Macaca mulatta: one gene and its partners. The protein of the gene in region 1 interacts with the protein of each later gene in a pairwise test. Links are inferred from orthologs where the notes say so. Each region holds a gene or a part of one and is shown in the gene's direction. Other genes may lie near its edges.

What was found.
Region 2: the proteins of CCHCR1 (region 1) and CCDC136 interact in binary tests that used the Homo sapiens proteins (3 or more experiments, as listed by UniProt). The link is inferred for Macaca mulatta from reciprocal best matches to the Homo sapiens genes CCHCR1 and CCDC136.
Region 3: the proteins of CCHCR1 (region 1) and SMARCE1 interact in binary tests that used the Homo sapiens proteins (3 or more experiments, as listed by UniProt). The link is inferred for Macaca mulatta from reciprocal best matches to the Homo sapiens genes CCHCR1 and SMARCE1.
Region 4: the proteins of CCHCR1 (region 1) and SSX2IP interact in binary tests that used the Homo sapiens proteins (3 or more experiments, as listed by UniProt). The link is inferred for Macaca mulatta from reciprocal best matches to the Homo sapiens genes CCHCR1 and SSX2IP.
Region 5: the proteins of CCHCR1 (region 1) and DTNB interact in binary tests that used the Homo sapiens proteins (3 or more experiments, as listed by UniProt). The link is inferred for Macaca mulatta from reciprocal best matches to the Homo sapiens genes CCHCR1 and DTNB.
Region 6: the proteins of CCHCR1 (region 1) and NDEL1 interact in binary tests that used the Homo sapiens proteins (3 or more experiments, as listed by UniProt). The link is inferred for Macaca mulatta from reciprocal best matches to the Homo sapiens genes CCHCR1 and NDEL1.
Region 7: the proteins of CCHCR1 (region 1) and KIFC3 interact in binary tests that used the Homo sapiens proteins (3 or more experiments, as listed by UniProt). The link is inferred for Macaca mulatta from reciprocal best matches to the Homo sapiens genes CCHCR1 and KIFC3.

What each region holds. Positions count from the first base shown.
Region 1 is NC_133409.1:151,906,701-151,910,630, forward strand, and holds the start of CCHCR1 (coiled-coil alpha-helical rod protein 1), read left to right. Parts: upstream 1-1,130; 5' UTR 1,131-1,670; coding exon 1,671-1,886; exon of another isoform or gene 1,887-1,913; intron 1,914-2,122; exon of another isoform or gene 2,123-2,188; coding exon 2,189-2,255; intron 2,256-2,333; coding exon 2,334-2,547; intron 2,548-3,257; exon of another isoform or gene 3,258-3,287; intron 3,288-3,930. UniProt on the Homo sapiens protein: May be a regulator of keratinocyte proliferation or differentiation.
Region 2 is NC_133408.1:168,425,033-168,429,034, forward strand, and holds the start of CCDC136 (coiled-coil domain-containing protein 136), read left to right. Parts: upstream 1-1,202; 5' UTR 1,203-1,233; coding exon 1,234-1,291; intron 1,292-1,702; exon of another isoform or gene 1,703-1,896; coding exon of another isoform or gene 1,897-1,939; intron 1,940-2,070; coding exon 2,071-2,178; intron 2,179-4,002. UniProt on the Homo sapiens protein: May play a role in acrosome formation in spermatogenesis and in fertilization.
Region 3 is NC_133421.1:65,026,263-65,030,369, reverse strand, and holds the start of SMARCE1 (SWI/SNF-related matrix-associated actin-dependent regulator of chromatin subfamily E member 1), read left to right. Parts: upstream 1-1,307; 5' UTR 1,308-1,390; intron 1,391-3,341; 5' UTR 3,342-3,386; coding exon 3,387-3,393; intron 3,394-3,569; coding exon 3,570-3,613; intron 3,614-4,107. UniProt on the Homo sapiens protein: Involved in transcriptional activation and repression of select genes by chromatin remodeling (alteration of DNA-nucleosome topology).
Region 4 is NC_133406.1:155,917,551-155,921,050, forward strand, and holds part of SSX2IP (afadin- and alpha-actinin-binding protein), read left to right. Parts: intron 1-904; coding exon 905-1,070; intron 1,071-3,500. UniProt on the Homo sapiens protein: Belongs to an adhesion system, which plays a role in the organization of homotypic, interneuronal and heterotypic cell-cell adherens junctions (AJs).
Region 5 is NC_133418.1:99,430,193-99,433,692, forward strand, and holds part of DTNB (dystrobrevin beta), read left to right. Parts: intron 1-860; coding exon 861-966; intron 967-3,500.
Region 6 is NC_133421.1:9,963,356-9,966,855, forward strand, and holds part of NDEL1 (nuclear distribution protein nudE-like 1), read left to right. Parts: intron 1-410; coding exon 411-562; intron 563-3,500. UniProt on the Homo sapiens protein: Required for organization of the cellular microtubule array and microtubule anchoring at the centrosome. May regulate microtubule organization at least in part by targeting the microtubule severing protein KATNA1 to the centrosome.
Region 7 is NC_133425.1:53,369,769-53,373,520, reverse strand, and holds the end of KIFC3 (kinesin-like protein KIFC3), read left to right. Parts: intron 1-116; exon of another isoform or gene 117-328; coding exon 329-459; exon of another isoform or gene 460-636; intron 637-782; exon of another isoform or gene 783-895; intron 896-1,029; exon of another isoform or gene 1,030-1,037; coding exon 1,038-1,161; exon of another isoform or gene 1,162-1,199; intron 1,200-1,406; coding exon 1,407-1,536; exon of another isoform or gene 1,537-1,622; coding exon 1,623-1,852; intron 1,853-2,192; coding exon 2,193-2,327; intron 2,328-2,603; exon of another isoform or gene 2,604-2,796; coding exon 2,797-3,165; 3' UTR 3,166-3,252; downstream 3,253-3,752. UniProt on the Homo sapiens protein: Minus-end microtubule-dependent motor protein. Involved in apically targeted transport. Required for zonula adherens maintenance.

The sequences.
Region 1 (3,930 bases):
TCACTCATAACTAGTTTGAACCTCCGAGGGCAATGAATCTACTGTCATCCCCCAAAAGGAAGTGCAAACGAGTTCTTAAGTACTCCAACAAATTGGACCTAAACCCCTACTTCCCGGCTTCTCTAGGTGGGATAAAAACAGGAAGGGGTAGGCCGGGCGCGGTGGCTCAAGCCTGTAATCCCAGCACTTTGGGAGGCCGAGACGGGCGGATCACGAGGTCAGGAGATCGAGACCATCCTGGCTAACACGGTGAAACCCCGTCTCTACTAAAAAATACAAAAAACTAGCCGGGCGAGGTGGCGGGCGCCTGTAGTCCCAACTACTCGGGAGGCTGAGGCAGGAGAATGGCGTGAACCCGGGAGGCGGAGCTTGCAGTGAGCTGAGATCCGGCCACTGCACTCCAGCCTGGGCGGCAGAGCGAGACTCCGTCTCAAAAAAAAAAAAAAAAAAAAAAAAAAAAAAAAAAAAACAGGAAGGGGCTCCCCGCGATCATGCAAGGCATACCCGGCCTTTTCCCTCTCGGCCCCAGCCCCGTTTCGGATCTACCAGCGGGGTGCAGTCTCCGAGTAGCCTCCTCTTCAAGCAGTGCCAGCCTGTGCCGCGGGTCCCGGGACCCCCTGGGCTCCTCGGCTGGAGCCGATACTGCTGCAGCTGTTTGACAGCCAGGAAGCCGGGGCCAGGAGGGGCGCGGCCTCGGCGCGCGGGCAGCGCCTACCCCTCCTTCGGAATTCCCGGGCCCGAACTTCGCGCCGAGCGAGCCCGCCCCCGTGCCGTTTCTGATTGGCCAGCTCATTTGCTCTCTTCCGCGCCATTGGACGGCTCCCTAAGATCTCCCGCCTTCCGCTTTTTCTGATTAGTTCACAAGTTTTCCCGGGTTCCCGCAGTGGGGAGGAGCCGCCTGGGCGCGGAGATGCGTCGACACATTCTGTGGGCCCAGATTTAGACGCCACTGCGCCTGCGTACACCTTTCCTCCTCCCTACAGTGAGGTAGGACCTTAGGGCGCCCGCCTTGCGCAGGCGCGGTCAGAGGCCGAGGCAGAGGCGGGGCCCGGAGCGAGGCGTAGGGGGTGTGGTCAAGGCGCAGTAGGGGTTCTCGCGGTGGGTAAGGGACGTTCGGGAAGAGTCGGTTGTGGGCGGGAAGGGGCTGAGCGGGGGTGCTGGGAGGGTTCAAGGGGTCCAAAGGGGAAGGGGGAACAGGGGCCAGGTGAAGGGGTAGATGAGGAGATCAGAACAGCCTTAGAGCTCAGGGGCCAACTGGGTGAACAGCCTTGGGTATCTAGGGGAGCAGTGGGGGGAGAGCAGAGCCGGCTAGCGTACAGGGGGCGAGAGCAGACTATTGAGAGATGGGGGTGAGGGTGAGGACCAGAACAATTCCTTCAGAAAAAAGTAGATTAGGATGTAAAAAGGGACCGGAGTAGGGATCCCAGATTCGGGTAAAAAATAGATTAATGAGGGTGGGAGGGTGGGGGGAAGGTCTTAAAGTGCCCACTATGTGTTAGGACTCGAGAAAGAGGAGGCGGGCGGCAGGCATGGAAGCTGAGGGGATAGTAGAGAGAAGCTGAGAGGACAGCCGCAGGAAAGATTTGGATGAGATGTCAGGACGCTGGCTTTTCTGCCTGGGGATCTAGGCTGCTTGGATTCCCAAGGTCTTGGGAAGGGTCTAGCCCTGCATGTGGCCACATTCAGCTGGGGCCAGGCCTTGGGCCAGCACTTTAATAGGGAAGGACCCAAGAGTCATGGCCTGGTGGTGTCTGGATGGGATTCCCCCAGGCCTTGCTGAGCCATGGAGAGAACTCTGGAGATGGCGCTCAAGACCCCTGCACTGTGTACCTCCTTTCTCACCTCTGGCCAGGGGCAGCAGGGACCATAGAAACTTAAGGAGGAGGGTAAAGGCACTGCCCAGAATCCTGAAAGTATGAGTAAAGCCTCAGAGCCCCTCTCGGTCTGTCTTTTTCAGTAAATTCTCTCCACTTGATAGTTAGTTGCCTGGGTTCCCTGAGGAACCAGGTTGAGACAAGCAAGTGAATTTGGGGTATCTCCTACTTCTTTGGGGAAGTAGGAAAAGAGCTGAGCATCGGGTGGACCTGGCTGTAATTCAAGGATTATGACTTTGTTATTGTAGGGGCTTTCTCTTTGGAAGGTGGCCTGAAAATTGAATTGGAGTGTCTTTGTTTCTCCTATTGTCCAGGGGAACATAGATGGCTGGAGACAGAATCTAGAGCCTTCAAATAATGTGGAGATGTTTCCACCTTCAGGTCAGTGGGACCAGACAAGGGGAGTGGTGGTTGTCTCTGCCTGGGAAACTGACCATCTTTGATTTTGTAATTCTTCAGGTTCCACTGGGCTGATTCCTCCCTCCCATTTTCAAGCTCGGCCCCTTTCAACTCTGCCGAGAATGGCTCCCACCTGGCTCTCAGACATTCCCCTGGTCCAACCCCCAGGCCATCAAGATGTCTCAGAGAGGCGACTAGACACCCAGAGACCTCAAGTGACCATGTGGAAACAGGATGTTTCCAGTGACAGGCAGGAGCCAGGGCGGAGAGGCAGGTAGGGATCCATCCTCGCTGTTTTCTCAGGCTGGCTTGCTAGTGACCCTTCTTCACTGGAATAAACTCCTTACCCTATTTCGGCCCTAGTTTCCAGAACCTACTCATTTTTATGCAAGCAATTATTAGTTCCTGCAGTGCTTAGATAATAAAGCAGTGTGCTAGGTGCTAGGGATGAGGATAACAATAATGAATAAGACAAATCCTGACTTAAATTTGTAATTAATAAGGAATCTAAAATCTTAAGAGGGGAGATAGATTGACCATCAACTGATGGTAAAGCATAGTATGAGGCAAGATGAAGAAGTGCAAACTAGAAGTAGAGACCCAGCACTGTGGCAGTGTGGGTTCATTCTGATGGAAGAAAGCCTTTACAGAGGACATGCTATGGGAGCTGGCCATGCTGTCGTATTGTCTGTAAACATTCTTATTCTTGTTGTTTCATGTGTCTTCCCAGATGTACTGGGATAGCATTCTGCCATTTTGCTCTAGAGTAGGATTACATTAGAAGCAGCAGCACAATGAAGAAGAAGGAGCACTAGACTGGGTGTCAGGAGACAGAGACTCTATTTCTAGTTTGGCTACCAGCTAGAGGACATTTGGCAAGTCAATTTCCCTAGCCTACAGATCCCTGATACTTAAAGAAAGAAAGAAAATAAAGAAAAGGCCAGGTATGGTGGCTCACACCTATACTCCTAGCACTTTGGGAGCTGAGGCAGGAGAATCACTTGAGCCCAGGAGTTCAAGACCAGCCCGGGCAACAAAGCGAGACTTCGTCTCCACAGAAAATAATTAGCTAGCTGTGGTGACATGCATTTGTAGTCCCAGCTACTCGGGAGGCTAAGGTGGTAGGATCACTTGAGCTCAGGAGTTGAAGGCTGCAGTGACCTATGATCCAGCCACTGCATTGAGGCCTGGGTGACACAGTGATACCCTGTCTCTAAAAACAACAACAACAATCTCCTGTGGTCCTGGGTGTCAGAGAGACAGCTGCCTCAGGAGCCACGTTCCAAGCTAGATTAAACTTCACATGATATTGGTAGACAATGTCTCCAAAGGCTGGCACTATGTTATTTATGTACTGTTCTCTCAGACTCCTCATAAAGTATACCTAACACTCAATAAATGCATTTTAACTAGCACCTGGCCTCACCATATTGATACTGGAAGCTCAGCTCTCTCTATGCCCATTCCTCCCTCAAACTTCTTGCCCTTAAATCAGAATTGAGAAGTCTCTGTTCTTCCAACCTTTCCACTTAAAATGTGTGGCCTAAAAATAAAAAATAAATAAGACAAAAAAACACCAAAAAACAAAAAGAATGTGTGGCCTAATGATATACACATTTGATGTTGAATCTGTCTGTATGTAGCTCTCTCTAGGGAG
Region 2 (4,002 bases), on another chromosome or scaffold:
TGGAGTAGCCATTCTTTATTCCTTTGCTTTCCTAATAAACTTGCTTTTACCTTATTCTACGGACTTGCCCTGAATTCTTTCTTGCGTGAGATTCAAGAACCCTCTCCTGAGGTCTGGATCCGGACCCCTTTCCTGCAGCGGGGGGAACGCAGACAATGTGAGTGAATGTGCTAGAGAAGGGATCTGCGTGTGTCCCTGGCTTAGGAATCTCCCAGCCATTTCCTGGATGTGCTGGGGAGCCCCTGTTGCGAACTGTACCCACTTCTATCCTTGCTGAGACCTGCCGAGATGTGAGAACTGCCTCTTCAAAAGCCGGCACCCAGTGGACATAGCTTGAATAAAAGAATGGTGGAAGACGTGAAATAAGCCCCCTGGGCTTCCAAATCTCCCTTCCACGAGAGTGAACATCAGTCGTGCCCACTCTCGCGGGCTACAGTGGGGGCGTGGCTCACAGCCCACCTGGTGTGGGACCGGAAGGGAAGGCAGGGCGGAGGAGAGGGGGTCTTCGGGCCCTGAGGCTTGGTGGGGCCACCGGAGGGCCCCCCTAAGAGGGTCCCTGGCCCTGGTTCGGTAGGGGGTCGCAGAAAGCGGAAAGGTCAGGGCCCTGCCGTTCGCCCATCAGGGCCTCGACTTCCCTCCTCCGGCCCCCAGGCTGCCGAGGGGCCACCGGGCAGGGCTGAGCAGGGCCTGAGGCCGGAGTCCGCGCCGACTGCTTGGTGGGGGCGCCGGCCGGGCGGGGGAGGGAAGGAGGGAGGGGCGCGCGTGTCTGTGCGCTTGGAGGAAACAGTCCCACCTCGTCCTTTGCTGTCCCCATTGCTGAGCATGACTGGGCCCTGACACCTGGTGCAGAAGGGTCCCTGCGCACAGCAGATCCCGGGGGGATCTGCTGCCAGAACCAGGGGATCTCGCTCCTCCCTCTTGGGACAGCCTTAAGCCTAGGAGCTCCTGACACTGTCCGGGCCCCGCAGCTCCCCACGCTCCCTCGGGGAGAGACTTGGGGCGTATCTGGGGTCGCGCTCACCCTCCCAAGCCGCCCCCTGCACCGGCTCGGAGCTCCCGAGTGCTGGGAGGGCTTCCGGGCGGCGGCGAGCGGCGGGGGGCGGTGTCAGGAGGCCCGGCCAGGCCCCGCCCCCTCTCCCGCCCCCCCCCCCTTCCTGCGCACCCGGCTCGGGTCCCCGGGCTCGCGGCTGCGGCTTCTGCTCGGGGAGGCGTAAGGCGGCGGCGGGAGCGGTCATGGAGGCGGGCGCCGGAGCCGGCGCGGGAGCCGCGGGCTGGAGCTGCCCGGGACCAGGTCAGAGCCGCCCCTCCCTCACCTCTCCACCGCCCCTCCTTTCTCTCCTCCATCCCTCCTCCCTCCAGACCCCCAGGTGCTCCTGGCCTCCGCGGCTCCCCCTTCTCCGCCCAGAGTCTTCCTCCCTCCATCCTGGCCTCCACCGGGGCCCGGTCTCCATCTTTCCGGCCTGGGGCTGGGGCTTCAGCGCACCGGCCGCATCCTGTCTGGTGGTCCCTCCCCAGCGCGTCTCTCCACTCCAGTCCAACGGTGCTTCCAGCCTTCGGGGCTCCAGACCCCGCACCTCCTGCAGCCCCGGAGATTCCTGAGCGCGGGGCGAGGGTGGGGTGGGCAAGGTCCAGCGAGAGAATGAGAGGGGAGGGGAGGGGAGCGGTCGCTGCCCTACCCCTTCCCACACGCCCCCCACTCCTCCCTCCCTCCGTAGGCCACCTCACCCTTTCAGCCTCTTCTTCACTGGCTCCCGCCCTCTTTCTGTCTTGCCCCTCTCCTCCCTGTCTCCCTGGACTAAATACGCACACCCCCTCTTTCTGTGCAAGCAAGAGGGGCCTGGAACAGGGGGTTCTGAGGAGGCTGGGCGTCAGGACTGGGGTCTCCGCAGGCAGAGCATGAGAGGTGGTGGAGAGAGAGAGGAGTCGCAGAGACGGGAGAGTGAGTCAGGCACCTCCACTGGGATTACAGATCCCAGAGCCCCGAGGAGCTGGAAGGCATGTCCCCTTCTTTGCACCCCAGCCCGCAGCCAGTCCCCCATCCCCCAGCCCTTCCTTTCTCCGTGCTCTCAGGACCCACAGTGACCACTCTAGGCTCCTATGAGGCCTCTGAGGGCTGTGAGAGGAAGAAGGGCCAACGCTGGGGCTCCCTGGAACGACGAGGGATGCAAGCTATGGAGGGTGAGTTTTCCCAAAAGGCTTCTTTCTTTCCCTTCCCCTCCTCCCTTAATTCCCTTTCTTCCTCCCTTTGACCCCCAGGCCTCTAAGCCGGGACACAGCCCTTCCCTCAGTTCATCTTAGCCCCTCTTCCTGCAGCTCAGAGCGCCAGCCCTTCCCAGGGCTCAGGCTTTGACGGAAGTTTAGGGTGCATCCCTTCGGGACCCCAGTCAACCCCCAGCTAACCAGGTTGTGTGTCCCTAGGGAGCTGCCAGACAGAGAAAGAGGCCTGGTTGGACAGAGCTTTGAAGCAGCCTTTCAGCAGGGGGTTTGTCCTCACTGCCTGCCGACCCAGATCCCAAGCTGTCTCTTATTATAAAAAGCCAGGAACTGGGCATGTGAATTGTCTTTCTGGGGCCACCACCATTAACTTCGAATGGAAGCCTGTGGCTTTGGTTCTCTAGGATACCTTACTGCCTGAAAGAGATTGCCTAGGAGGGGGCGTGTGAGGCCATCCTCCCAACACACGTGTATCCCCACCACACCCATGTGACTTGGCAGTTGCTGCCAACACCAGGCCCCTGGAAGGACGCTGGTCCATTTTCCAGGACTTTCTGTGAAGTATTGCACGTTGCACATTCAGTATGGGCAAACCTGCTCCCCCTAAGAGGGACAGATGGCACAAGGGGTCCCAGACGAACCTAGGGCTGCTGATGTTAGATAAAGTAAGACCAGAGATTCAGAATTTTAAAACAAAGCAAACAATCATCATCCAGACAACATTTTGCTATTTATAGGGACTGCATTGCAGTAAAGGAGCGGGTGCTCACAACCAGAGGCTGGGGGCCAGCACCAAACCCCAGTTTTTTTAATGCATTAAAATAGCAGGCTTTCTTTTACACACAAGTACAGCCTAAAACTTCCCCTGAAAGCTGCTTTGTGGTCAGCAGAGTAGGAGGGGCTTCATATGGCTCAGCTAGGGGAGAGGAGACTTTGTGACATGCAGCAGGGAAAAACAAGGTGGACCTTGTAGAAAATTTCAAACAGGTATTTAATAATATACATTTGAAAGGGCACCAGCGTTTATCCAATGAAACCTCTACAATCAGATATTTTCTTTCTCTACCTGCTGACAGGCAATGCTTTCTTATTACGGAAAGGCTGATTTTTCACAAGCCACCTGGATAGTGTTTTGTTTGGTTGTTTTTGTTTGTTTGTTTGTTTGAGATGGAGTCTCACTTTGTCGCCCAGGCTGGAGTGCAGTGGCTCGAACTCGCCTCCCTGCAACCTCCACTTCCCATTTTCAAATGATTCTCCTGCCTCAGCCTCCCAAGTAGCTGGGATTATAGGCATGTACTACCACGCCCAGGTAATTTTTTTGTATTTTTAGTAGAGATGGGGTTTCACCATGTTGACCAGGCTGGTTTGGAAGTCCTGGCCTCAAGTGATCCACCCACCTCAGCCTCCCAAAGTGCTAGGATTACAGGCATGAGCCAGCATTCCCGGCCAGTTTTGTTTTGTTTTGTTTTGTTTTTGTTTTTAACTTTTGAGAAATCTCCAAACTGTAACTGTTACCCCATTTGACCGAAAGATCCACTCACTGTCTCCTTTCTTGACTACTTGTCCTGCTACTCAGAGGCCAGCCTAGAAGAAGCAGGTAATCCTGTGCAAGTGTCTCATGCTGAGCGGGCACCAGCCTGCCCACAGGCAATGGTGGGAGGCTACCATGTGCAACATTGGTCCAGGAAGGGCCTGGGAGGTGGAGGGGCTGCCTCTCAACTTGACCCTCACACCTGAGGATTCATCTTGAGTATAGGTCTTGCCCAGAGGCACCTTGGGGGATACCAG
Region 3 (4,107 bases), on another chromosome or scaffold:
TCCCTGTTGGCACACTCAGGATGAGGGCTAAGGGCAGCCCAAGAATTCAGCCTCTCTCTCTAAATGTCAACTGTTTTCAAGTAACGACAGGTCAGGGGTCCCATCTGTTCATTCTCCTCCACAGTGGCCCACAATATCCGTCAGGTGTTTATGTATCCAAAGAGAAGGCTACTCACTCCATCTGGTAAACCAACATACTCATGATGTAGTGGAAAGAGTCCCGGAGTAGCACAGGGGGCTGCCTCAATACACATTTACTGAGCGTCTAACAGTGAATGAGTCAAGTCCTTCGTAGGCACTGGCAAGGGGAAGATGACCAATACAAACGGCTGAACCTTGCTTTCAAGGCCTTCATAAAGCACTAGAGATGACAAACACGGTCCGATACAAAGGGTCAGGTTCAGGACTCCAGTCATTATTATCAAAGAGCCACGGGAATACAAAGGAAGGATTACTAGCGGGGGAAGTTCCTGGAGGGCATCACAAAGAGACCTCTGAGCTGGATCCGGAAGGACAGATGAGTTTAAGCTGAAAGTGGGGTCGGTCGTTCCCGCTGGCGGGAACCGAAGGAGCCAAGGCAGCTTTGGGGCGGAGACCAGGTGGCACCCGCGGCGCTGCAAGGACACACAAGCTGTTGCAAGAGGGTCAACCTCTCCGGGCCTTGGCTCAGAAACCTGGGACGATTACACCCTAAAAGCGCTTGGAAAAACTGCAAAACTCGTACTGCTTTTCGCCAAAGCTACTACCGTGCCGTGAGGGCAGGAAGTCCTGCGAGGCGTCTGCGAGGACGCAAACGCCGCGAAGCGAGTCCTCCACGCCTCCATCCCCGGCATAGTGAAGTGTAGACTCTGGCCCACAGCCGAAAGGAAAGACCCGGGTCGGGGAGGGCCCCTCCAGGGGCGGGCTCAGCCGGAGTCTGGCCGAGCTGCGCGCGGCCACAGTGGTTCCGCGGCCTCGCGCTGAGTGCCTCCCGCCGTCTCCCACTGCAGCCCCCACCGCCCCTCCGCAAGGCCCGGCGCCTCCCGCCACCTCCTCGGTCGCTGCGGCCGCTCCAGCTCCTCACAGCCGCTAAACCCAGGCCTATCCCGCGGTCGGTTCTCTTCGGCCCTCTTCGCCGTGACGAATCGGCGCCCGGCTAGGAAAGTATCCAAATTCGGAGAGTTTTGAGGAACCAATGGGGCCTGAAAAAAATCCCGGAGTGTGCTAAGCATCACCGCATCCTCACTAGAAGGTTTATTTTTTCCAAAGAGGGTCGGGTGGGGCCCGGAAAAAAAAAAAATTAAGAAGAGTGTGGAAAGTGCGAGTGCGGAAGCTCCGGACGCGAGGGGCGGGGCGTGCGCGGGACAAAGGGAAGCGAAGCCGGAGCTGCGGGCGCTTTTTCTGCCCGCGGGTGAGTGTTTCCAAGTGGGCCGGACCGGGTCGGTGGGGGCAAGTCGTGGTGTCCCCGCTTGGCTGAACTCCGAGTTCCCGGGGGTTGCTGGGGTTCAGGCTTGGCCGTGGGGCCACAGCCGGGAGCCGGTTGCGGCCTCCTTGAGGCCTAGCAGAGCAAGGGTTGGAAGGGAGTCCCATCTGGGGCCCCCTCCTTGGAGGCAAGGCCGGTCACCCGAAATTGGTCAAAGCACCTGTGCATACCCCGTTTTAGGGGAGTTGCTAGTAAAGTACGTTCTCCAAGACAATGAGAGTGACCTCAGGAAGCCCGCGGGCGAGGCAAGTCCGTGGTTCTCACCCCCAGGAATAAGGTTCCCCCATTGGTTCAGGCAGCGACCTGAGGACTCAAGATGTGGCTTATGGAGACGAGCAGCGCTCTGAAATAGTTTGGCCTGGGTTTGAAACCCAACTCTGGCACTTCCTGGCTGCATATGGCTTCAGACAAGTTGTTTAGACTCTCCGAGACTCCCTTGTTTCATCTGTAAAATGGGGATAGCTGTACATATCAAGTACTTGTGACTGTTAAGCGAAATAGGGTCATAAGCCTACCCCGTATAAAGTATTTCTTGAACAAATATTTATCGGGTATTTATTTTTATGCCAGGCACCAAGGATGGATCCAACGGTGGACAAATGTACAAGCCCACTCTTAAATTTTATGTTCTAGCAAAGGAGAACCATAATTTTAAAGTATTAACAATGAAGTATAACGTACAGGGAGCTTAGCTTATGGCAGTTGTCAGGGTGCCCTGCAGCGAGGCCTGCTGGATGTTGACAGCTCCCTTAATGTGAGCAGAAAGGAAATCTACACCAGAGTCAAAGGTTTCTGACTGTTCTTTAAGAGGGAAAGACTCAGGTTGGACCATTGAGAAAATGAACTGTTTCTTTCCACACCAGGACTCATTCCTTACGCTCCAGGGAATTTCCTTAAAATGAGTAATAGAAGTGAAAAATCGGATCTATTCCACATAACTTTAGATGCAAATACCTCCAATAGTCATAGAAGTTTATTTGCCTTCTTTCTAAAGATGAATTTTTGTCTTTTTGTACCTCACTATTTGTGATGTATGTTGATGTAAAGAACAAGCTCACATGTGCCTGATTATGTTGTGAGCTGGTAATACTAGGAAAAAATTTCCTAAGAATTGAGCTGGGTCCTGCCATGGTCCCTGTTTCCAAGTAGCATACAATCTAGCCATATTGACAAGTTAAAAAAAGTTATAATAATATCATAGATCTGTGTAAACTGTATAGGAATACAGATGGGGGAGCAATTAATTCTGCCCAGGTAATGTATCAAGAAAGTTCCATTGAGGAGAAAAATTTTGAAATGGGCCGTGAAGGGTGAATAAGAATTTTTCAGGTAGACTCTCAAAATTTATTCCCAGCATTTATGAAGCTATTTACCACTCTTAAGAGAATGCGAAGTTCATTGTCATACCAATTACCTTTTGCACTGCTTCCAGGAATAAAATGCTGCCCAATTTTAATAAAAATTGTTATCCCAAAAACATGGTACAGTTGCTGATCAAGGAGCTGTCAGTATCTGGTAGGCCTTGTTGGGTTGGACTCTAATACATCACTTTGTATTCTCATGCTTGTATCAGTCCGATGAAATGTTTACATGGCGTCAGCAAAATGTTTTCCATACAAGAGGTAGCTTAGTATCCCAAGAAAAAACCTGAAAGTACATTTCTAAATATCCCCAGTACTTTATTTTAGTCATTTAATTCTAATCAACCAAATCTCCTATAAGAACTAGTTAAAATATGCAAAAGGCTTAATTACTAGGAATTAAGGTGAAGTAGTTTTACTCAGAAATACCAATTAAATTACCCTATTCATTAGGAAAACATTCTCGTATGCTTGCTGAGTTTTGATTCTCTTTTTTTTTCCTTTTTTTTTTATTTTAGTGTCTCAGATTCATTCTTAAGGAACTGAGAACTTAATCTTCCAAAATGTCAAGTAAGTTTCAATTTTTATATTTATCGATCTATGTTAATAAGAGACTAATGCCCTAGCAAGTGGGAATTCCAAAATACTCTCATTTTTTTTTCTTCAAAACAGGACCATTGGTAGTTTTGTTGCATAGTATTATATCTCAGTTGTTTACAAGAAGTTATTTATTTTCTTTCAAACAGAAAGACCATCTTATGCCCCACCTCCCACCCCAGCTCCTGCAACAGTAAGTTTTAATTTTCTTGTTAATGTAATAGCCAAGTCTGGCCTTGATACAAAAACCCAGATGTCTTCCAGTGACAGTCACTCAATCATCACAGCAACAGGATGAAATTCAGCTTAAAAGAAAAAAAAAAAAAAAAAAAAAAAGCATTTCCTACTAAATAAAATAATTATTTGCATCTTTCCTTGAACCAACCCCAACATTTAAAGAAACAATACTGTAAAACTCCAACCTCCTATGCTCAGTTTGTTTTGTTTTTTTCTTTGTAAATGGGAAATAAGTGAAAGTTTTACCATTTCTTTCTTATTAATCTTCACTATTAAGAGTCTTTAAGTTGTTACTGAATGAATGCTCATTCTGGCTTTTTTGTTAAACCTAACCTTCAACTGGTTATGTTTTTCTCTCCTTTCTTGTCTCTCTATAAAATTTTCATATTAAACAATAAAGCTTCTGAAACTATACTCATTGTAAGTATTTTCAAGCTGTTCAAGTAAAGA
Region 4 (3,500 bases), on another chromosome or scaffold:
ATATTTTATTTACTGTAGTCAAAGTGAGGATGAGAGGGGGACTGTGCATACCCAAAGTGACTTTTGTTGTGAGTTTGTAATAATGTGAAGTTTTTGAAAATTTACATCTAGAATTTTTTTTTCAAAATGGAGTCTTGCTCTGTCACCCAGGCTAGAGTGCATCTCGGCTCACTGCAGCCTCAACGTCCTGGGCTTAGGCAATCCTCCTTGCCTCAGCCTCCTGAGTAGCTGAGACTATAAGCACACACCACCGTACTCAGGTAATTTTAAAAAAGTTTTTGTAGAGACAAACTTTCACTATACTTCCCAGGCTGATCTCGAACTCCTGGCTTAAGCAGTCATTCCACCTCAGCTTCCCAAAGTGCTAGGATTACAAGTGTGAGCCACCCCACCCAGCCTAGAAATATTTTTAAAACTAGATCCTTTTGGCTGGGTGTGGTGGCTCACGCCTGTAATCCCAGCACTTTGGGAAGCCGAGGCGGGCAGATCACGAAGTCAGGAGATCGAGACCATCCTGGCTAACACAGTGAAACCCCGTCTCTACTAAAAATACAGAAAAATTAGCCTGGTATGGTGGCGGGCACCTGTAGTCCCAGCTACAGACTGAGGCAGGAGAATGGCGTGAACCCGGGAGGTGGAGCTTGTGGTGAGGCAAGATCGCACCACTGCACTCCAGCCTGGGTGACAGAGCAAGACTCCATCTCAAAAAAAAAAGAAAAAAAAAAAATCCTTTGAAACATGTGGACTATGCAACAAAGATAGCAAGATTAATGATATTAATTTGAATTTGTTCCATCTCTTACCTCACTCAGAACTGCAGATGAATCATCCTGATGATTTACCTTCACTATATTTAATGCCTCACTGTATGTACTGCCTTTTTCCCTTCCTTGTTTTACAACAGGTTCTGATCGGGACAATCTTACAGTGCACTCGAGGCAGCCGCAAAAGAAGCCTCACAATGTATCTAATGGGTCTCCAGTTTGCATGTCTAAACTTACTAAATCTCTTCCTGCTTCACCTTCCACTTCAGACTTTTGCCAGACACGTTCCTGCGTATCTGAACATAGGTATTTGTCTATAGGTGATCTTTTCACATATTTCTAAAAATTGGTAAAGTTGCACTGCTGAGGAGAAGGTGGCGTGTCTGTAGTATTAGGAACAATAGAGATTTTGGAGAGGAATTTAGTAGATGATTTATTCATTCTACAAATATTGAGTGTCCAGTATATAAAGACACTGTGCTAGATGCTGGGAATACAACGGTGAACAGGTAGATCTGTTCCTTGTCCTCTTGGAGGTAAATCATGTGATGTGTGTCTTTTTATTTCACATTTAAGATATAATTTAGAACATAATCTTAATTATAGGAATTAATATTTTAAGTACTTTAATTGTATTAAATAGATGGATATTGTTTTGACAGTTTTTGTAGAGTACATATCTTAACATTTTTTTCTGGCATGCCCATTTTATTGTTGTTGAAGGGCAAAGAACTGAGAAATGCCTGTTCATATTGAGTGATAAAATCTGTGCCCAAGGATGACAGTGTAAAAAAACGTGGCTCTCCACCCTGGGAAACCCATATTTTGCTCTTAATTACTACATTTTGGTATTTTCCTCTATCTCAAGTTACTATATCATTTTCTAAAATAATACCAATACTCTGCTTCAGCGCCAATTCCCAGATTAATTTTAAACGAAGCAGAGAAAGCATGTAGACCATTCCTAGTAAGATAGAGAGGAATAGAAAAGGTCAGAGGGGTAAGTTAGAAAGTATGGTGGCAATCTCTTTGCTCTTAATTAAAAGGAGGAGACAATGGCCTTGGAAAATAGTCAGAGCTTGAAGCAAACTCGGCCTGTGTTAAGAGACTGGAGTGGAACTAAGGGTTGAAGAAGCCAGCTGGCCCTTGGGCCAAGAATTATGAAATAGATGGAGTTTAAAACAAGAAAGGAAGCTTTTAAAAGGAGGAGGAGGACACACTATAAGTTGTAGTTGACTTTTAAGAGGTGTGGGGATTAGGACTCCAAGTAAATGTTAGAGGGGATGAAAAAGAGCTAGGTAAGAGCACTCTAGGCAAGTGTAGAGACCCTGAGGTGGGACACACCTCATTTGCAGTGCTGACCAAGACCTAGAGGTGTGAGATGAGGATGGAGAGATGTAAAAGTTCAAATACGCACAAATACAGAGAGGATAAAATAATGAACCCATGTGTACCTATGACGCAGGTTCAACAATTATTAACTCATGATCAATATTGTTCATACATAATCCCACTCTGCTCGCTCTCTCCACCCCACCCCCAACACATCTGGGATTTGATTTACAAAATATTTTAGTGTGCATTTGTAGGTCAAATATTGTTCTAAGGGGAGTAGAAAAAACATTAGTTTTAAGAGAGTGAAAAAGAGTACTGTTTTATAATGCCGAAAACAGATTGTAGGAGTCTAATAGAAACCAGGAAATCCAGTTAGGAGGCACTATTGGAGTGGGAACGAAAAGACAATGGTAATTTGGACTAGGGTCATAATGTGAAGGTAGAAATGCTTGAATTTGGGACCTATTTTGAAGTTAGACCAGTAGATGAATTGAATATGGGAAGTGAAAGTTTGTTTATTTTACAATCAAAAGATAATGTGTAAGCTCATAGTATTTTCTTACATAGAATGTTAATCAAACTTCCAAATTTGACCAATCAGAACTATCTGTATAGACACAGATGCAAATTCTAGCCACTATTGACAAGTAATGCATTTTATATCTAAGAGATAGCATAACATAGTTGTCTCAGTTGTTTTTATATATTTTACATATTTAGCTTTTTATATCATTGTTTTTAGTTGTGAAATATTTGACAAATATCTCTTGAAGACCTTGTTTTATGTTTAATAAAGTTCAGCATTTAGTACCTAAATCATAGGGTGTTGCAAGTTAAGTGTTAGTATATGTAAAGTACTTAAAAGCAGTACCTAGTTCATTGTAAACATTTAGTGAGCATAAAAATAAAAATACATGTACACAAATATAAACATGCTTTTTTTTGTTTCTGAGTGCTCCACTGAACAACATCAGTGGCATAGAAATAATTTTGGAGCTTAAAGGAATTAAACTATTCATTGTTAACTAGCCCCTAAGAGTAAAACAAACAGAAAAAAGTTTTATGACTAATAGAGAAGCTGTGCAGCCTGACATGGTTCTTCACATTTTAAATTATTTTATAAACTTGGTTCTCTTGCTCCCGAAGCATTTTGGATCTCGGTTTATATTAATATTACAACAAAATAATTAGGAGTATTTGTAGCTAATTTCTACAACATCCTCATTGTTCTTTCACTGTAGAATGGAATTTTGCATAAAGGCTGTGCCTTAGATTCCAGGCAAGGAGACTTGTGCATAAGTTACTTACAAAACTTAGTTTGATCATTTGTGCAAGGGATTCTGATGACCGAATTACTGTAATTGTTGGTAAATAAATTTATAGTAATTTGGTCATCAGAAT
Region 5 (3,500 bases), on another chromosome or scaffold:
GGAGAATTTGTTCTCTCTATATTATATAACTCTATTTCTATCTTATCTTTCTAGACTGCTTTCTAATTTGGTGTCTACGTGGGACATATTATTTCAGTGTTTCATATACAGTGGAAGCTTACTATATATTTGTTAAAAAGAGAAATAAAGATAGAACAGACAAATGCAGTCTAGCTAGGGCGATGGTATAACAGGAGCATTGTGATGGGCATTTGGACATGTAGGTTCCAATCTCATCCTTATCATAACTACCTCTGTGATTTTATCAAATTATTTAAGCTTCTCTTTTCTGTTCTGTGAATGAGAAAGTTGTTAAATGATGTCTAGGTGTTTGCCCTTCAAATTACGACTATTTTTTCAATAGTTACTTATCAGATACATGTCAGGCACTGTTAGGAGAGCTAGAAATATGGTGGACAACCAGCCACAGTGCCCGCTCTCGTTGATGTTGCTTTATACTCGGGTGTGGGCTGTCTTCTCTCCCCCACTGGGTAGCAGAAATAGTAACTCGAAGGACAGTCTTGGATTTGTGTCTGATTTGGGCCAGGCCACTACAAAACCTTTAAATGCTTTATTTTCCTATCTGTAAAGTGAAGATAGTCATATCTAACCTAGTTTACCTTATATAGTTGACTAAAATAAAATAATGTATGTGGAAATACATTTAAATATACTAATAGTAGTAGTGTAAAGTACAGCATGTAGTAGTGTCTGTAGAAATGTGAAATATTTTATTTTGCTGTGAAATTTACCATATAATTCACTAAAGCTTGGATGGGAAAAATCCTAAATTAACTTAAACTTGGAGTTTGGAAATTGTTTAAAAATTTAAAGTATATTTGTTTTTCTTCTTTTTACAGAGAAAGATAATGCTAAATATGTTTTTAGACACGATGATGGCTGACCCTCCTCCCCAGTGCCTTGTCTGGCTACCTCTCATGCACAGGCTTGCCCATGTTGAGAATGGTAAGCAGAACTTTTATTGTTCAATTCCTCATGCCGTAGAAAGTATAGGAACTGATTATTTGCAATGTCCTTAGCTATTAATATCATTGAAAATTACAGTTGACATTTGCTGTCACTCTGTCATTTGATTTTGTGGTTTTGGCTTTCAGAAGAATATTTCTTTCAAAAAAGGGAGGATACTTACTACTTTTTTTTTTTTTTTTTTTTGAGACAGAGTCTCACTCTGTTGCCCCAGCTGGAGTGCTGTGGTACAATCCTGGCTCACTGCAACCTCTGCCTCCCGGGTTCAAGCGATTCTCTCATCCCAGCTACTTGGGGGGAGACTGAGGCAGGAGAATCGCTTGAACCTCGGAGGTGGAGGTTGCAGTGAGTTGAGATCGCGCCACTGCACTCCAGCCTGGGCAACAGAGTGAGACTCTGTCTCAAAAAACAAAAAAAAAAACAAAAAAAACAAGAAAGGATACCAAGAAGTCATATCAGGTCATACAACTTGAACTATAGACTTTTCTTGCCTAAGATTCCAGATGACAGTTTTCTGTTTGAGCCCAGCTGCTTTTTAGCCATTACTTCCGGTTTCCTCTTTGATTTATCAAACTCATAGCTCTAAAAAACTGTATATATGCTATATCAGCTGCTAAAACTATAATTATTTTGGAATAATTTAAAGAAAAATAGCCAAGATATAATTTAACAGTGGGTTCCCTTTTTTCCCCCATTTTTTTCCTTTACCATTTTGCCTTGAAACTCTTCTTGGTGTCCCTCCCAGTAATTTGACATAAATCTTTGTTTTGCTTTGAGTTAAAATAGTACTTATCTCTTAGTGACTTCTTAATTTTTCCTGCTTTTGCCATCAGTTTATCTCCTCCTTTAGGTTGTTGGAGTTTGTTAAAGGGAAGGCCATCGCTTTTCTAGTAACCTTCCCTCTCTCCAGGCTCTTGCCTTTCTTCATTCCTCAAAAGAGAACAAGGAAGAGCCAAGAGTCCGCTTTTAATAAACGTCCATACTGTTTTTATTTTCTTGCTCTCATATCCATACTTTAAAATAAATTTTTCTCAGCCTTTTACCCAACTATGGCTTTAGTTCACAAGTACCTCAGATTAAGGATTCATTTCTTAAAGGACCAGACTCTCTCTAGACTAAAACAGCACAATTTTTAAAACAAGATTATTGGATAGATTTAAATTTTGGAGAGCAATGCTTTTATAGCCTTGTTTTAATAGTTTTATGTCCAATTGATTTTCATAAAATCATTTTGTATTTGCTATACCAAGTAGAAAGAGCCTCACTTGTCAAGATATATAAGATATATTATTATCCATATGCCTATGAACATTTTATTGTGACTTTTATGAAGTATATAATTTATTGATTACATTCTTAATGTATGTGGTTTGTAGTATTTTTATCAGAGACAGAAATGTTATAAAATAATTAAAATATCTAGAAATAAAAGGTTACCTATCACACTAATATTTTTCAGTATGTCAGTTTTAATGGTGAGAAACAAATTATAAAATTATGGTATTTATGGTTTTTTTTGGTTTGGGCTTTATGAAGTTCATCATGAATTATATTGACATTATATTGACATAACTATGCATAAGGAGAAATATTTATTCACGTAAGCAAAAGTTGCACTTTATACATTGATTTACTAATCCAAGTGTATGGTATATAAGAAGGTAACTACTAAGTGATGCACTTTACCAAAATAATACTTTTACCAGAACCTGAACAGTCCTTCTCTTTCTTATTTATAATTGACCCAACACACTTGTTAATTTTTTCATCATTCTGGTTCTCTACTTTTCCACCTGTCACCCATTCCACTGACTAAGGATTGGCTCTTGACTGGTTTGGAAGAGAACACAGGAGAATCACATAGACATATTTGTTCAACCCAAATTATCAGAATGTATTTGATAATTTAATACTAACATACATATATCTTTTAATATTAACCTAAATTACTTAGAACTATAAATACTGGCTGCACAGATGTTGACCTCATTGACGTTTGCTGAGATTGAGGGAGACCTGTTCTCTGGAGGAACTACACTAGGCTGTATAGTTAATTTGAACACATGCTCTTAATTAGCATTTCCAGCATTCCTTAGAAACACTTTGATGGCAAAAAACTGAATTTCTTAGAAGAAGTAATATCCTTTGGATTTCTCATTATTGAGTTTAGTTTTCTTTTAGTCCCTAGTGATAATGTTATATAATCTTGCTATATAGTTTTTCTCACCTCATACTCAAATGTTTTTTGAGTCTTGATTCACTAGTTAATATATATTTTTGGAAGCAGGTCTAGAAGTCCCTATAATTGAAATAAGATTGTGGTCTTTTTTTTTTGAGACGGAGTCTCACTCTGTCGCCCAGGCTGGAGTGCAGTGGCCGGATCTCAGCTCACTGCAAGCTCCGCCTCCTGGGTTCACGCCATTCTCCTGCCTCAGCCTCCCGAGTAGCTGGGACTACAGGCGCCCGCCACCTCGCCCGGCTAGTTTTTTGTACTTTTTAGTAGAGACGGGGTT
Region 6 (3,500 bases), on another chromosome or scaffold:
TCTCAAGTGATATTTTTGGGTTTTTTAATAGTGCTTGCTCCCCAAACACACCCTGCTCCTAACACCAACCAACAGTCTACAATTTAGAAACGAACAACGGATGGGACAAGAGACCTGGGGTCTGCTGTTCGACCTCCCGTGCCACACTCTTCTTACTTGTGAGGGGAAGATTACGTGTATTTCCCTCAGTAACACTAAGAGGAAAAAATAAAATATTCTGAGCTCATTAGAAAGGGAGCATAAGTATTCTGCCTTTTTATTAGAAAGTTGATTGATCATGGCTGAACTAACCACCATTATCAACTGAGATGAGTAGGTTTTGAGGCTTGAAATAGAAATGGTTTGAAATGCAAATTTTTATGTGCAGCTACTGTTTTGACAACCGTATCATTCCTTCTTTTTTTTTGTAGGCTTTAGAATCCAAATTAGCAGCTTGCAGGAATTTTGCAAAGGACCAAGCATCACGAAAATCCTATATTTCAGGGAATGTTAACTGTGGGGTGCTGAATGGCAATGGCACAAAGTTCTCTCGATCAGGGCATACATCTTTCTTCGACAAAGGGTAAGTCCTGAATGTTTTAAGTGATAATTTTTTGAGTAGTAAAGTGACATTATTAAGTGAGCATAATGAAGCCTTGAAAAGGTAAACTCAGCTTGGCAAACCTGCCTGCAGCCTGTTACCATTCTAATCTTAGGGGACATGATGTCTGTTGTTGTCCTCTAGTCCCCGTGGAGTCTGTTGCCCCAGGAACGCTGAATCTGAGGCTTCTGTCCTGGGAAGCAGACTCTTGAAAGGCAGCAGTGTGAGGCTCTGGTGAGTCAAAACGACTGTGATAAGGTCCCTGTTCTCCAGGTGCTTACAGGCTGGCAGACTTGCAAATACTTTTTTGGGGTAGAAGAGAGCATCACAATTAAATATATGCAAACTGTACAACAGACATCCCCTGTGAGAATTTTGGAGAAATATAAAGCCCTGAAGTACTTAGGCACTGGATCAAATACAGTTTAGGAGATACAACTTTTGTATAAAGTTAAGGCTGTTTTGAAGACTGAAATAAAATTGTCTTAAGACTGAAGCATCCTTAATGCAAAAAATTTCAGTTGGTATAGAAGTATATGAACTAAAAAGTCATTGTTTCCTGCCTTCACACTGTTTCTGCGTTCCTTACAGTTATTCCAAGGCATGTCAAATCCTATTTTTATGCATCTGCTCTAAGTTGTTTGTAACACAGTTATGGGATTTTACTTTAAATATTGCTTTGCAATGTGCCTATCATGACTTATATTGCCATTATCTTTCCATGTCATGTATATTATTCTACCTCAATTTACTTATTTTTAAATACTGCATGGTAATACATGGTTGTACAAGTATGCCTTAATATGGGTCACTGTTAGGACCCGTGGCCTGGGATGCTCACGGTGCTGCCTAAGGTAGTTGTTACTGAAGCAGCCAACAGGCACCCATGATCCCCTGCCACTGTCTCTGCTTTGAGTCATAGAGGTCATTCTTGCTTGTTTTTCTCTGAAAGCAGAACAGGTACAACTCTAGAAATGTTCACGATTTCTTAAAGCAGCTGGCATTTTCTGCCATCCCCAATAATTGTGGCCCATTTATAAAGGAGCAGATTTGACACACAGTGCACTGTGAAAAGGCTCTTCTCCTTGTGGTGGAATGTTTTGGTTGATCTCTGTCCCTTAAGAGAATTTCACCCTGAGGTATATACATTTCATTAAGGGTTTTGTATTAAAAACACATTCTGAAACCTCACTATACAAATTAGAACTTTATTCTTTTTTTAACAAATTTTTTAAATAATTTTTTTTTTCTTTGGAAGAGATGCGGTCTCACTGTGTTGCCTAGGCTGGTCTGAAACTGCTGGGCTCAAGTGATCCTCCTGCCTCAGCCTCCCAGAGTGCTGGGATTGCCACCGCGCCCAGCTGAAATCAGAACCTTATTCTAACCATTGGGTTTCCTCGGGTGGAGTAAATATAAAATTGATTTTCCTCAGGCTTAGGAGTTTCAGGCAGACTTGAGGCAGCCCTTGTTTTTATACTGGAATGGTAAATGGAATGACTGGACGGTTTTACATGAAAGTAGCCATTTCCCCTAAATGATATGGAGAATGTTTAGGGTAGTCTTCATAAATGTTGGAAACAGTGCCTAATTATTTTTCCCTACAACTTATAATGACCCTCTACTAGAGTAGTTATTAGTCTCTCCTTGGAGTCATATTTCTTGATGGGCCTCAGGTGCCTTACATGAGAGCAGGCATGAACCATAAATGGATAGGTTGGACAGGTGCCTGTGCATGTGGAAGCCCTTAAGAACAGTCACGAGGAGGGAAGGATGACACTGTCTGTTCAGGGTCGCTACTCCTGCCTGCCACTTGCCTCCCAAGGCAGAGCACCTGGGCAGGGATTGCCAAGAGATGTGGGGACCTCAGGGTGAGCTGAAGCCAGGAACGGGCCTTGGGCACACTGGCTGCACCCCTGTCCCTTGAGAGCATCCGAGATGCAATTGTAGGCTTTACTTCTTGAGCTGAACCCGGAGTGGCTGTGCTTCCCAATCAGAACAGTTGCGGATACTTAGTGTTGGTTTTAAATGATAGACATTTTACATTGTGCCTTTTCCATTAAGAAAAACGCTTTTGTGAAGTGGCTATCGTGTGAGTGTTTAGCTTATGTGATAAGTAGATTGTGTATGCACACTGGAATAGGAACCTACTGGTGCTGGTGTTTTCTTTCTAGTTGCTGTATTCCTGAGGAGAACTCTTTTGTGGGTTTTGCTGTGTTTTCACTTTCTGGCCGCTTTGCTTCGATTCTGGCTTCTGGCCTGCCTGGCTTTTTACCTCTGGCCTTTCTTCCTGCCGACCTGTTGACCAGATAAACACCAAGATGTTGTGTACCGCCTGCAAAAGGAAGGGCAGGCTATCGTAGTTCCTAGGTCCATGACACACTCTGGCAGGTTAAAGAACACAAAAGCCTGTCTGTATAGAAGTGTAGAAGCATGGCTTGTCGTTTCAGCAGGAGAAGAGCGCCCCATTGGAAAAGGCCTCCACTGCAGAACCTGCCCTCCCTCCCTCTCACTCCTGAGTCCACTGTAGAACCTGCCCTCCCTCCCTGTCACTCCTGAGGTGTCTAGCACCGTGGCGATAGGTCACTAGTGCCGCTAGAAACCTGTGGCAGGGTTGTTTGGGGGAGAGATGTCATCAAAGTAGGTTTGTGTGGGTGTCCGTGTGTGTGCGTGTCCGTGTGTGTGCGTGTCCGTGTGTGTGGGTGTCCGTGTGTGCGGGTGTCCGTGTGTGCGCGTGTCCGTGTGTGCGGGTGTCCGTGTGTGCGCGTGTCCGTGTGTGCGGGTGTCCGTGTGTGCGCGTGTCCGTGTGTGCGGGTGTCCGTGTGTGCGCGTGTCCGTGTGTGCGCGTGTCCGTGTGTGCGCGTGTCCGTGTGTGCGCGTGTCCGTGTGTGCGGGTGTCCGTGTGTGCGCGTGTCCGTGTGTG
Region 7 (3,752 bases), on another chromosome or scaffold:
CAGCACCCCTCCCAGGTGGCCCCGCAGGGCCAGGCATGCATCTGGCCGTCAGCTGGCCTATGTGGGGTCTGGGCCAGGCCCCTCACCCCAGTGCCGGACAATGAGTCTCAGGGTAGTCCTGGCAGGGCGATACCATTTTAATGGTGGGGAAATAGAGGTGCAGTTGCCTGCAGCTGGTGGAGGGCATTTTGGGGGACAGTGGCAGGTAGGTAGGTTTGGGCAAGGAGGCTTGCCTGTGAGGAGTAACCAAGGGGCTTGGGGGACAGACGCCACACGAGCATCTTTGGGGACAGGCCTGGCTCACTGGGGCCTTTCCTTCTGCCCCCAGGGGACCCCTGAGAACCCAGGTATCAACCAGCGGGCCCTGCAGCTGCTCTTCTCCGAGGTGCAGGAGAAGGCGTCTGACTGGGAGTATACCATCACCGTCAGCGCCGCGGAGATCTACAACGAGGTCCTCAGGTGGGAGCCCCAGGGTATGCAGAGCAGGCCTCAGGGGCAGCTTTGGGGTCCTCCGGGGTGGTGCTGGAATGAGGTCCTCAGGTGGGAGCCCCAGCATGTGGGGAGCAGGCCTCAGGGGCAGTTTTGGGGTCCTCTGGAGTGGTGCTGGAGCAATGGGGGATAGGAAGTGGGGTCTTCCTGAAGGGAGTACAGGGAACAGATGAGGCCATCAAGGGACCTGGCTGCAAGTCCTGACTCAGCCCATCGGTTTGGGTGGTCCTGTGGGGAGGAGGGGCTCTCTCTCAGCCTGCCCTAGCCCAGACCCAGGCAATCCTTGCCCCTACCTGTGGGCTGCACCAGGTGGCTGTGGGTGAGAGTGGGCAGCTGGGGGCCCTGCCCACAGGGCTCATTGCATTGTGGAGTGAGATCTCTGCGTCAGCTGAATGCGGTGGAGGAGCTGGAGGAGGAGAGATGCGCTCAGCTGATGGCTGAAGAAGGCTTCCTGGGTTGGGGGAACATTCCTGGCTGGGGGGCTGGGTGCAGTGCAAACAGCAGCCAGAAATGGGAGGAGGGCGTGACTGTCTCACCTACCCCTCCAGGGACCTGCTAGGGAAAGAGCCTCAGGAAAAACTGGAGATCCGGCTATGCCCAGATGGCAGTGGGCAGCTGTATGTACCAGGGCTGACTGAGTTCCAGGTGCAGAGCGTGGACGACATCAACAAGGTGTGGAGGAGGGAGCCCCTGACCACAGCCACGCTGCTCTAGAGGACAGAACTGGGTTTGAATGTAGGCTCTGCTGTGTCCTAAGCACGCACCCTTGGGCAAGTCCCCACGCCTCTCTGAGCCTCAGTTCCCTCATCTAAACTGCAGAGGGTGGTGCCAACTCCTCACGGGTGCTTGGGGCCAGGTGACTCTGAGGACCCCATTCTCAACGCTGTGCCTCTGCCCTCCCGCTCCCAATCCCCCAGGTGTTTGAGTTCGGCCACACCAATCGCACGACGGAGTTCACCAACCTCAACGAGCACAGCTCCCGCTCGCATGCGCTGCTCATCGTGACGGTGCGAGGCATGGACTGCAGCACGGGCCTCCGCACCACGGGTGAGAGTGGCGGGCAGCCTGGCCTGAGGATCCCCACAACCACAAGGGGCATGGCAGGCCTGATCTGCTGGGTGCCCTCCCTGCAGGGAAGCTGAACCTGGTGGACTTGGCTGGCTCCGAGCGCGTGGGCAAGTCGGGGGCTGAGGGCAGCCGCCTGCGGGAGGCACAGCACATCAACAAGTCGCTGTCAGCTCTGGGGGACGTCATTGCTGCCCTGCGCTCCCGCCAGGGCCACGTGCCCTTCCGCAACTCCAAGCTCACCTACCTGCTGCAGGATTCACTTAGTGGTGACAGCAAGACCCTCATGGTGGTACAGGTGAGTGCCTTGGGTTAGGGCGGGCCAGTCCCTAGAGTGGAGGGGCTGCGCTAGCAGCGAGACCCGGTCACCCCAGGCTGTGCAAAGGAACCCTTGTCTCAGCAGCTCCATAGTCAGCAACAGCCCCCAGCCCCAGACCTGGCCACACACACCCTGTGTGACTCCCAGTCCCTCCTCTCCACCTTTGACCACGCTACCTCTGCCACCTTGCCTGCCCTCTCACCCCATCTTTCAGTCCTCTCCAGGAAGCCTTCTGACATCCCCAGCTGTGAGCTCCCTCTGTTGGCCCTGCTGTCCCTCCAGCTGGCCTGGTTGGGCAGTGAGCTCTTGTGTCCCGTAGGTGTCCCCCGTGGAGAAGAACACTAGCGAGACGCTCTATTCTCTCAAGTTTGCTGAGCGGGTGCGCTCTGTGGAGCTGGGGCCTGGGCTACGCAGGGCAGAGCTTGGGTCCTGGTCGAGCCAGGAACATCTAGAGGTACGGGGACTGTCACAGGCCTGGCTCAGGTGGCCCTGGGTCAGAGACTTTGGGTCATGGCAGGAGTGGGGAACTGGGCGGGGACGTCCTGAAGCAGTGGGGGCGGGGAAGCTGCCGGAGGTGGGTGGAGCTACAGCTGGAACCCACAGCCAGGAGCCTCTTCAGTACAGGTAATTCTTCTTGGCCTCAGAGGTTCCTGTGGGGTGACCAGCTGGCCGTGGGGGTGGCACACAGTAGGTACTAGTTGTACCTAGCACACAGTGGTAACTAGTTGACTTCTTTATATGTATTATCTCGTTTAATTCTTACCATAACTGAGGCTGGGGCACGAGCATCATGCCCATTTTGCAGATGAGGAAACTGGGTGTTAGGAGGTTAGGAGGCAGGGCAGGGGAGTAGAGAGCAGCACAGCAGGGTGGGGAGCCAGGGCAGCCGTGGCCCACGCCCACCCGCCCTTCCCTGCTGACAGTGGGAGCCGGCTTGTCAGACGCCACAGCCCTCAGCACGGGCCCACTCAGCCCCCAGCTCTGGGACCAGTAGCCGCCCTGGATCCATCCGGAGGAAGCTGCAGCCCTCGGGTGAGCCTGGGGTGGAAGTGTGGGTGGGGGAGTCTCCCCAGGATAATAGTCACCAGGCTGCCCTTACCTGGATTGGCTTTCTATTTTCTTTCCTTTTTAAAAAGTTCTTACAACTTCTTCAGAACCTGTTTTACAACCTCCCCTGCCCCCAGGCAGTCGTCAGGGCAGACAGTGCTGTGTTCAGTCTGCAGGTGGGAAATGAAAGGTCCGTGGGGAGGGGTAGTGTAAGGAGACCCCAGCCTCCCAGCTTGGGGTGCTGACTTTACCCTGGGACCCTGCTCTCTGAGGGTGGGCTGGCTGGGCCTGTGCAGTAAGCCCCCTCCAGAGCAGTCCCTGCATCCCCCTCCCTGCACCTCAGCTGCCCTGGGGATAGAAAGGGCAGGGCTTGCCTACGTCCTAGGTGAGGAGTGAGCCCCACCACAGGACTGGGATCCAGGACTCCAGCCCCTGTTTAGCCCAGATCATGGGAAGGCCTGGCCTGTCCTTGAGTCCAAAGGGGTAGCAGCAGCAGGGTCCTGTGGGGTACTGGCCTGAGGCAGGCCCACCAGTGAGACGCCTGTCACTTTGATTTCAGCCTGACGGCTGGGGCTGCAGCCTCTAGGTGAGTGTGGGGCCAGTGGCCCAGGGCTACCCGCCTGCCCGCCGCCATGGGTTGCAGGGCTGCGCTGGGACGTTCTGCTGCTCAGGGCTGGGTCTGGCCTCCGCTGGTGTTGTCTGTCTGCTTCTGCTGGGTTCCCTCCTGCTCTTGGTGGCACCTGTTGTGGGCTGCCGGTGGGCGAGTGGACAAGAGGCTGATGATCCCGGTGCCCCTGCAGGGAAGTCGCGGCCACTGCCTGTGTGACGGATG